2 linked regions of the Arabidopsis thaliana genome follow. The protein of the gene in region 1 interacts with the protein of each later gene in a biochemical or structural test. Each region holds a gene or a part of one and is shown in the gene's direction. Other genes may lie near its edges.

The links.
Region 2: the proteins of ZFHD1 (region 1) and FP6 form a complex in vitro, tested with the Arabidopsis thaliana proteins (one study listed by BioGRID).

The regions. Positions count from the first base shown.
Region 1 is NC_003070.9:26,180,187-26,184,127, forward strand, and holds ZFHD1 (zinc finger homeodomain 1), read left to right. Parts: upstream 1-1,969; 5' UTR 1,970-2,283; coding exon 2,284-3,012; 3' UTR 3,013-3,360; downstream 3,361-3,941. UniProt on the Arabidopsis thaliana protein: Transcription factor involved in the up-regulation of several stress-inducible genes. Acts as a transcriptional activator by interacting with MED25 and NAC proteins. Involved in increased drought tolerance.
Region 2 is NC_003075.7:18,032,466-18,036,623, forward strand, and holds FP6 (farnesylated protein 6), read left to right. Parts: upstream 1-1,665; 5' UTR 1,666-1,890; intron 1,891-1,897; exon of another isoform or gene 1,898-2,022; 5' UTR 2,023-2,130; coding exon 2,131-2,208; intron 2,209-2,844; coding exon 2,845-3,228; 3' UTR 3,229-3,424; downstream 3,425-4,158. Other genes in the region: PIS2 (Putative CDP-diacylglycerol-inositol 3-phosphatidyltransferase 2), read right to left, coding at 1-27, 230-279, 391-475, 569-626; BGAL14 (beta-galactosidase 14), read left to right, coding at 3,651-3,854, 3,930-4,025, 4,111-4,158. UniProt on the Arabidopsis thaliana protein: Heavy-metal-binding protein. Binds lead, cadmium and copper. May be involved in heavy-metal transport. May be involved in cadmium transport and play a role in cadmium detoxification.

The DNA.
Region 1 (3,941 bases):
ATATTTGTGACCACGTCTCTTTAGAGACAAATTGCTTACGGTAGTTATCGTTTTTTATCTAGTCTTTGTTTCTGTTTATTTTTCTAGTAGTGAATTTTAGCATTTGTTATTTATCTAATTAAGTCTTACTTTGTGTCATTTACCTACTTATTCAATAGGTATATACATAGATAGAAACGTTACGCAAAAATGACCCCATGATCATATGACATTTAAAATTTCGGCTACAAATGACTTTTTCTCCAACCTTAGTGGCCGGTTTGCGGGATGCGCGTGCTATTTCGGTCATTGACAAGATCGTTAGGAGATTGTTCTAATCCGTCTTTATGATTCTAATTGTGATACGAGTAAATAAATTGTTAAATCAAAGTCTCTGTCAACGAATTATTAGTAAAACAATAAATACGTTTATTTAATTATTTTTATTGTATGGTCAAATATCTCCCGATTGTTGTAAATTGGATTCTAATTAAGCGTGATTGGTGACTAGGTTTATGATAAACGACAAAACGTAACACCAACTGTTATTCATTTATTCTCCTCGCAAACAATGCTTTAATTAGTCTCATTTCAGGGATCAGACTCTTAACTATACATTAATGAATAATTTATATGCCTTTCAATAAGATTTTAAGTTAATTAAACGAGTATCCAAAGCTTAACGAAATGAATGTTGATGTCTGATTTGTTTTGTTACTTTAATTCTAAAGAGTAAAGACCTTAGTAATTATAATTAATAACAAAATTAGCCATGCAGTTTGATCTTACCAATAACATTCACATGTAGTAACATTGTAACTTATAAGAAAAGGTTCATCATTTTTTTCATGAATGGATCATCATAAAAGTAACAATAACTAGTCACAAAATGTTCCTTCAATTTTTATTTTTTTGATAGAAACTATATTTGTTGTAAAAACAAACCCTATAAGAATCGATATGGAAAATGGCTAATGAAGATTCAAAATAATTGTGGGGTACTTAGAAGAGGAAGACTTGAAGACATACACCACATAATTGTGACCCAAAAGCTAATCAATAACGTAAGCAAAATGCGAAAGAACACTAAATTTCGGCGCCACACTAATGACAAGAAGTGAGAATAAAAGGTCGGTAAGAGATAAGAGTCTTTCCAAAGGGTGGTTAAGGAATTTAGACATTTAAATTTCATGATTAATTACGAAACATGAAGTTTGGCAATTGTCACAACAAACTCTTCTTTGCTCCACGATTGAGTCAAGTATTAAGTATTCGTGCGAAAGAAGTTCTTTTAGAGGTGTTTTCGGTAATCTACAAAATCTTCTAGTTGTTTAGCACTTTTCCTTTTGGAACGAATTAGTACATTAGCATAAGTCAAATATTTCACTAGAACACGTAATACCTATACTAGTAAGAAATTTTATTGACTTTATTGTTTAGTTAGATTATCGTTATAGGAAAATTTACGATTTTAGACCTCTAGATAAGAAAATGGTCCCTAAACAGAATCAAAATTGAAAAGATTAAAACGTTTTAGTATAAAAATGCAGGGGTGATACAGTGAAATTAACAGAAGTATGGGGTGGTAACGTAAACTCTTAAAAATAAGAAACTGTAATATGTACAGTGGAATATGAAACTGCAGGGCAGCTGTAATTGTCCTTTAGTACGATGCATGTAATGGGCTATTGCCACGTATACACTTTGGACTCAAATCTTCCAACTAATCCCATCCTCTCCTTCGAATATATTCGATTAATTAAAATTTTATGTCACGCTCAGAAATTATTCATCTTTTTTATTTCTTTTACACAACAAGTTACCCACTGGTGAAAGTGAAAACCCATATCTTACAAATGTCCCGTAAAATCATTGCTTTCTGATAAGACCTCAGATTCAATATTTTATACAGGTTCAAAGTGTATAGTCTGTCTATATAACGTATGAATAGATATCAAAACTAGTGACTAAAATATTCAAAAAAATCTCTGTTTCACCAAAACAAGAAAAAAAAAAAGTAAAAAAGAAGTTGTGAATTTTCATTGATATACAGTGAGTGTTTTCTTTCTTTTGCTGTATGTTTTGGACGTTTGTGAGTAAGCACTTATTATTATTTTCCAAGTCCTAATTATATTTCATCACTGCCATGTTCTTTACCGATATAATTACATCATCGTCACATGCACTTACATAATTATCCTTTTTTAATAAATAAAATAAAACTACAAAACCTAATCTTCTCATTAATCACAAAAGCAAAAGATTTAAGTAAACACACTATAAAGACAGAACTAAACAAAAGCTATGGATTTGTCTTCCAAACCACAACAACAACTTCTAAACTCTCTTCCCATCGCCGGAGAACTAACTGTCACCGGAGAAATGGGTGTTTGTTACAAAGAGTGTTTGAAAAACCACGCGGCTAATCTCGGCGGCCATGCTCTCGACGGTTGCGGCGAGTTTATGCCGAGTCCCACGGCTACTTCCACCGATCCTTCTTCTCTCCGTTGCGCTGCTTGTGGCTGCCACCGTAACTTCCACCGCCGTGACCCTTCCGAGAATCTCAACTTCCTCACCGCGCCTCCGATTTCTTCTCCCTCCGGCACTGAGTCGCCGCCGTCTCGTCACGTGTCTTCTCCTGTTCCTTGCTCTTACTACACCTCAGCTCCTCCACATCACGTGATTCTCTCTCTCAGCTCCGGTTTCCCTGGACCGTCAGATCAAGATCCAACGGTGGTTAGGTCAGAGAACAGTTCAAGAGGAGCAATGAGGAAACGAACAAGAACCAAATTCACGCCGGAGCAGAAGATCAAGATGAGAGCCTTCGCAGAGAAAGCTGGTTGGAAAATCAACGGATGTGATGAAAAGTCGGTGAGAGAGTTTTGTAACGAAGTTGGGATTGAGAGAGGAGTTCTTAAAGTGTGGATGCATAACAACAAGTACTCACTTCTCAATGGCAAGATCAGAGAGATCGAACATGGCCTGTGTCTGAACACTCACAGCAATGATGGTGATGGGTCTTCATCTTCTTGAAGAAAGATTCAAGATTCGGGTTAAACCGAATTAGGATACTTTAATTTGGGAAAATATGAGCATTAACCGGTTTAAAATCATATAATAGTGTCTTTTCTCTAACATGTAATCGATCTTGATATAAATATTTATGCGGTTTGATCTTTTCTATTTTCATCACTTTGACAGAGATGTGGTCAGAGATCACAAATGGGTTTGGTAATAAATAAGTTTTTAAATCGGAGGTTGAAACGAATTTTGATAGACCATTTCTAATTATAGTAAGTGCATAAGCGCTAATTGTGATCGTAGAGATCAAAAGATTCGTTTCTTTGTTTACTTTCTGATTATTCAATGTTATCTTCTGTATTATTAGAAATAAATCTCCTGAACTTTAGAGATAGAGTAAGTAAAGTTTGCTTAATGAAGATACGACGACGTGGTTATTACGAATTGCAACAAACTATGGCGTGGCGGAATATAATTAGGTCACTGGGCGGCACATTTTTGTTGTTAATTTATATGATATGATTAAAAGTTATTAAAATGCTGGCTTATCTCTTTCCATTTAGGGATAAGCTTTGGCAACACCAATCTTGCTTATTTATCCTAATTAAGTACAATGCAGATGTTACGATTACTAAAATATCTACTATGTGCAATGATTTGGCTCTTCCCGCACCACTGATATTAAAAATTCGTTTTTTTTCTTTCATTCATCATGTATTAACGAATCATAGCGAATGCTTTATCACGTATAAATGGTCGTAAGTTCAATGCCGGAGACAAAGTATTTTACCATGTATGTACGAAGTAACGAAGCCCAAGCCTTAACAAAAGGCCGGTACGAATATCCATGCCAGATAGATCAATGTATGCAAAAGCTCTATGTAGATACGAGTAACTGCATGCAATGATTAATGATCAATATATGGTACACAAATTGTTTA
Region 2 (4,158 bases), on another chromosome or scaffold:
TATCCAAAACAGCTCCAAATGTAGAGACTGAAAGGAAAAGAGTTGTGTGTTACGTTCAATCGTTTCTGATAATGTAGAACAAGAATAAACTGTGTATGGGACTAAAAATATTGATCAATGAGACAATGACATGAAATGTCATATTTAATCAATGTCAGGATCATAGAGGAAGCATAAGTAATGAGTTAGTTGAAGCTAAGAAAAGAGATGGGGAGAATGAAAAGAGCACCTTGGTTAAATTTACGAGCGCACCATCCATCCACAGCATCACAACAAAAACTGGAAACAAGATTGGGTAAAGAGTGACTAACATATGAAAGAAGAAGCACCAAACACACAAGATCAAAAAAGGAGAAGAACATGATGTTGGTACCACAAGGATAAAGTCACCTGAAAAAGTACAAGAGGGAGAAGAGTGTCTTGTTGGAGAAGCACACAGAGAAGGCAATGCAGTTCAAGAGAACTCTCATGTACCCTGCCAATTTTGCATGTAACAACACTAATCTCATATGGTTTAAAAAAAATGAAATTTTTAAAGACAGAAGAAAGGAAGTAGCAAAAAACCGACCAACGATATTGGGAATGTAGAGGTAGACTGACAACGTCGCCGGTCTCTGTTTAGCCATAACAGAGAGAGAGAGACTTCAGTTTGGGCAATCTGTTCCCCAACGAAGAAAACAAGGATCTCGCCAATGAAGGGATACCTACACGAGATTAGAAAGAAAAAAGGAACAAACTTTGTGGGAAAATGCGTACGGACAGAGGAACCCCAAATCCGGTAAATACGTGAACACACACACACAAACAAAGTAGGTCAATCGATTTTCAGACGCAACTGGAAATATCAAATCTCAAAGTAAGTATGGGGAAATTAAATATTTCTCACCTGCCTAAGAGAAATTGGGAACGAAGGGATCCGCAGGATGAGCCTGCAGACTTTGTTGGAAGCTCTCACAAGAATCAGATTCGCCTCTCTCTCAAGCAAAAACGTTTTTTCGTTTAATATTCTCAAATTCAATTTGTGAAATACAGTACTAACATTTGTTAAATTATTTGTAAAACTTTTCTCGGTTTCGCCGCTTCAACACTGAAAATTTGCATATTTTATTTGCAAACAATACATACACGCATATATCGTTAATTTTCTTCTTCTTCCACGCACACTTTATTTACTGCTGAATTCGGATTGTGTCATTAGTCATTACTCACTCATTACTAATTTCCACAAACCTTTGTATCTTCATCGCTTAAGACTATAATTGATGATGGGATTTTCGGATATATGAACTTGAATCCCATGGGGGTCCAGATATCCAGATGGTTCTACTTGCAAGTCTTGCAAATCTAAATGGAATTAAAACTCGGTTGATTTTTGTCAAAAAATCGCCAAAAATATAAAATGGTAAGTAAGTGGGCCTCAGAAAAATCCATTAGAAAGCCTAGACCAAATTTTGGAGTGGGCTTCATAAAATAAACAAATCTGGTCATCAAGGTCGGTACGTCGGTGTGACTTTGCGAGTCATCATCGATTATCCAAAAACAATAACTCCTCTCTTTACTTTCTTCCCATGCACCAAGAATATATTTTTTTTATTATTATTTATTAAACAAAAAAAAAAGTAAAGCAGCAGAAAATCTAACGCACGACTCTTGTCCCAAGATCAGTCTCAGTCATCATCAAAACAGAAAATTTTATTATCCATTGTAATTTTATTTTTTTCTTACAAATTACAACTCTTTTTTTTTTCATTCATGGAATTGGAATGAAGAAATGTTTTAAGCCAATCCAAAAAAGAAACCGAAAAAAAAAAACTAGAAATTAGGAAACCGTTAGCAAGAAGAGAAGAATCGAGACGGCGACTAGGAAACTGCTGGGACCAGAAAAGAAAGGTGACCCATCCATCATTCACTTAATTAGATACATACTGTATTACTTATTACAATAATGCCTATATATATTCTCCCAATTCATCATTTACTTCTTTACACCTCCACTTTCCCTTTTGCCCCTCTTTTTTACAGATTTCACTCTCTGCTCTACTACTCTCTCCTCCTCCTCCTCCTAAAGAAAGTTCTTAACTCTCCTGGGTTCTTCAGGTTTTTCCTTTTCTGGAATAAAAAGAAGAAGAAATGGGTGTTCTTGATCATGTCTCTGAAATGTTTGACTGCTCTCATGGTCACAAGATTAAAAAGCGCAAACAGTTGCAGGTACTTTCCCTCTTCCTTTTCTTATCTTAGCAGATTCAGCTGATAACTTAGATCTTGGTTTGCAAAAAAACAAACATAATAATTCGTTGAAAAGTTATGATGAATGAGTCTAGTAGAAACTAGCTTCGATGGTTACTAGGAAAGTTTGAGTGTTACTTAGTAGATCTCGTATATTATAGTTCCATAAATAGACTGCCATTAGCAAGTTTATTATTGTGGTTTTGGCTGGCTAATTTGTGTTACCTTTCTTACTTCAGATCTTTTTTAATATCTCTGTGTTTTTTTATCTGAAGAAGTATATCCAAATTGTTACATGATATAAGTGGGATTTTATTTGAAGCAGTTTTTGTTTTGAGTTAATGTTCCTTCCTAACGCCGACCGAATAGATTCTTTTAATCTGAAATATAAGTTGATACAGCCATCTGTTAGATTTTACACCGGGATTTGTATTCTTCTCGCTGTCAGGAATACTATATAAAATCATTAATTTCCGGGGAAACCAACCACGTTAATTTTTCTCACTAGTCATGATGATATGGTTAAAGTCTTTCAATTGTGGACATTTACTATTCTTCTTAGATATTTTTAAAGTAGGCTAATTTTGTCGTTTTGTGTCGACTGCTTGATGAGGATAGACGGTGGAGATTAAAGTGAAAATGGACTGCGAAGGTTGCGAGCGGAAAGTGCGGCGTTCTGTCGAAGGCATGAAGGGTGTGTCTTCTGTGACGTTGGAGCCCAAAGCCCATAAAGTCACTGTAGTCGGCTACGTCGATCCCAACAAGGTGGTGGCTCGAATGTCTCACAGGACCGGCAAGAAAGTCGAGCTCTGGCCATATGTGCCCTACGACGTGGTCGCTCATCCTTACGCTGCCGGTGTCTACGACAAGAAGGCACCCTCCGGTTATGTCCGAAGAGTCGACGACCCCGGAGTGTCGCAGCTGGCTCGTGCTAGCTCCACCGAGGTCCGCTACACCACTGCATTTAGCGACGAGAACCCGGCGGCTTGTGTGGTCATGTGATGTCATATGGACTACTACTGTTTCAATTTGTTATGGCTTAATTTAATGTCTTGTTTTGTACATTAATACCATAACGGTAGGTTTCTTGTTTTGGTTTTAGTTCCTTGGTCTGTATTCCTTACACTTTATGATTGCAATATGTGTTTTTCCCTTTCTTCCAAAGACTTTTAATGTTAATAAATATTTCTACCCAAAATTAAATTATTTTCATTTATGGTTTGTAATTGTGAAGAAAGCTTCAAATGCGGATCAAGTTGTAGTTAAGAAAACCATTAAATTAAAATAGAGAGAGTAGTTGAAACAAGGGTTCCGAGCTTCCCTCTTTAACCTAGGACATCCTTAAAACAAGGGAACAATATAATACAAGTTGTAACATTTATGTATCAAAGTGTTTATCGATGAGCAAATCAAGTAGAATTAGGATGAAGTCGAGAACACGATACTTGATAGCGATTCTACTTGTAATTTCGCTCTGTTCCAAGGCAAGCAGCCATGATGATGAGAAAAAGAAGAAAGGAGTAACATACGACGGTTCTGAGCGGAACTTCATTGATCATAAATGGAAAAAGAGAGCTTCTTTTCTCTGGTTCTGTTCATTACCCTCGAAGCACACCTCACGTAAGCACGTCTACTCTGTTTTTATTATTACCCAATCAAAAAGATGATTTCACTTCATGGATCGGATTCTGGTTTTGTTGCAGATGTGGCCCAGTATCATTGACAAAGCTAGAATTGGGGGACTTAACACCATCCAAACTTATGTTTTCTGGAATGTCCATGAGCCTGAACAAGGCAAGGTATCATCGACTTCAATTCTCTCTTAAGATCATTCCTTCTTTTTTCTTTTTGGGTGATTTGATCATTTGCCTTAAAATGGTTCAGTATGATTTCAAGGGGAGATTTGACTTGGTGAAATTCATCAAACTAATC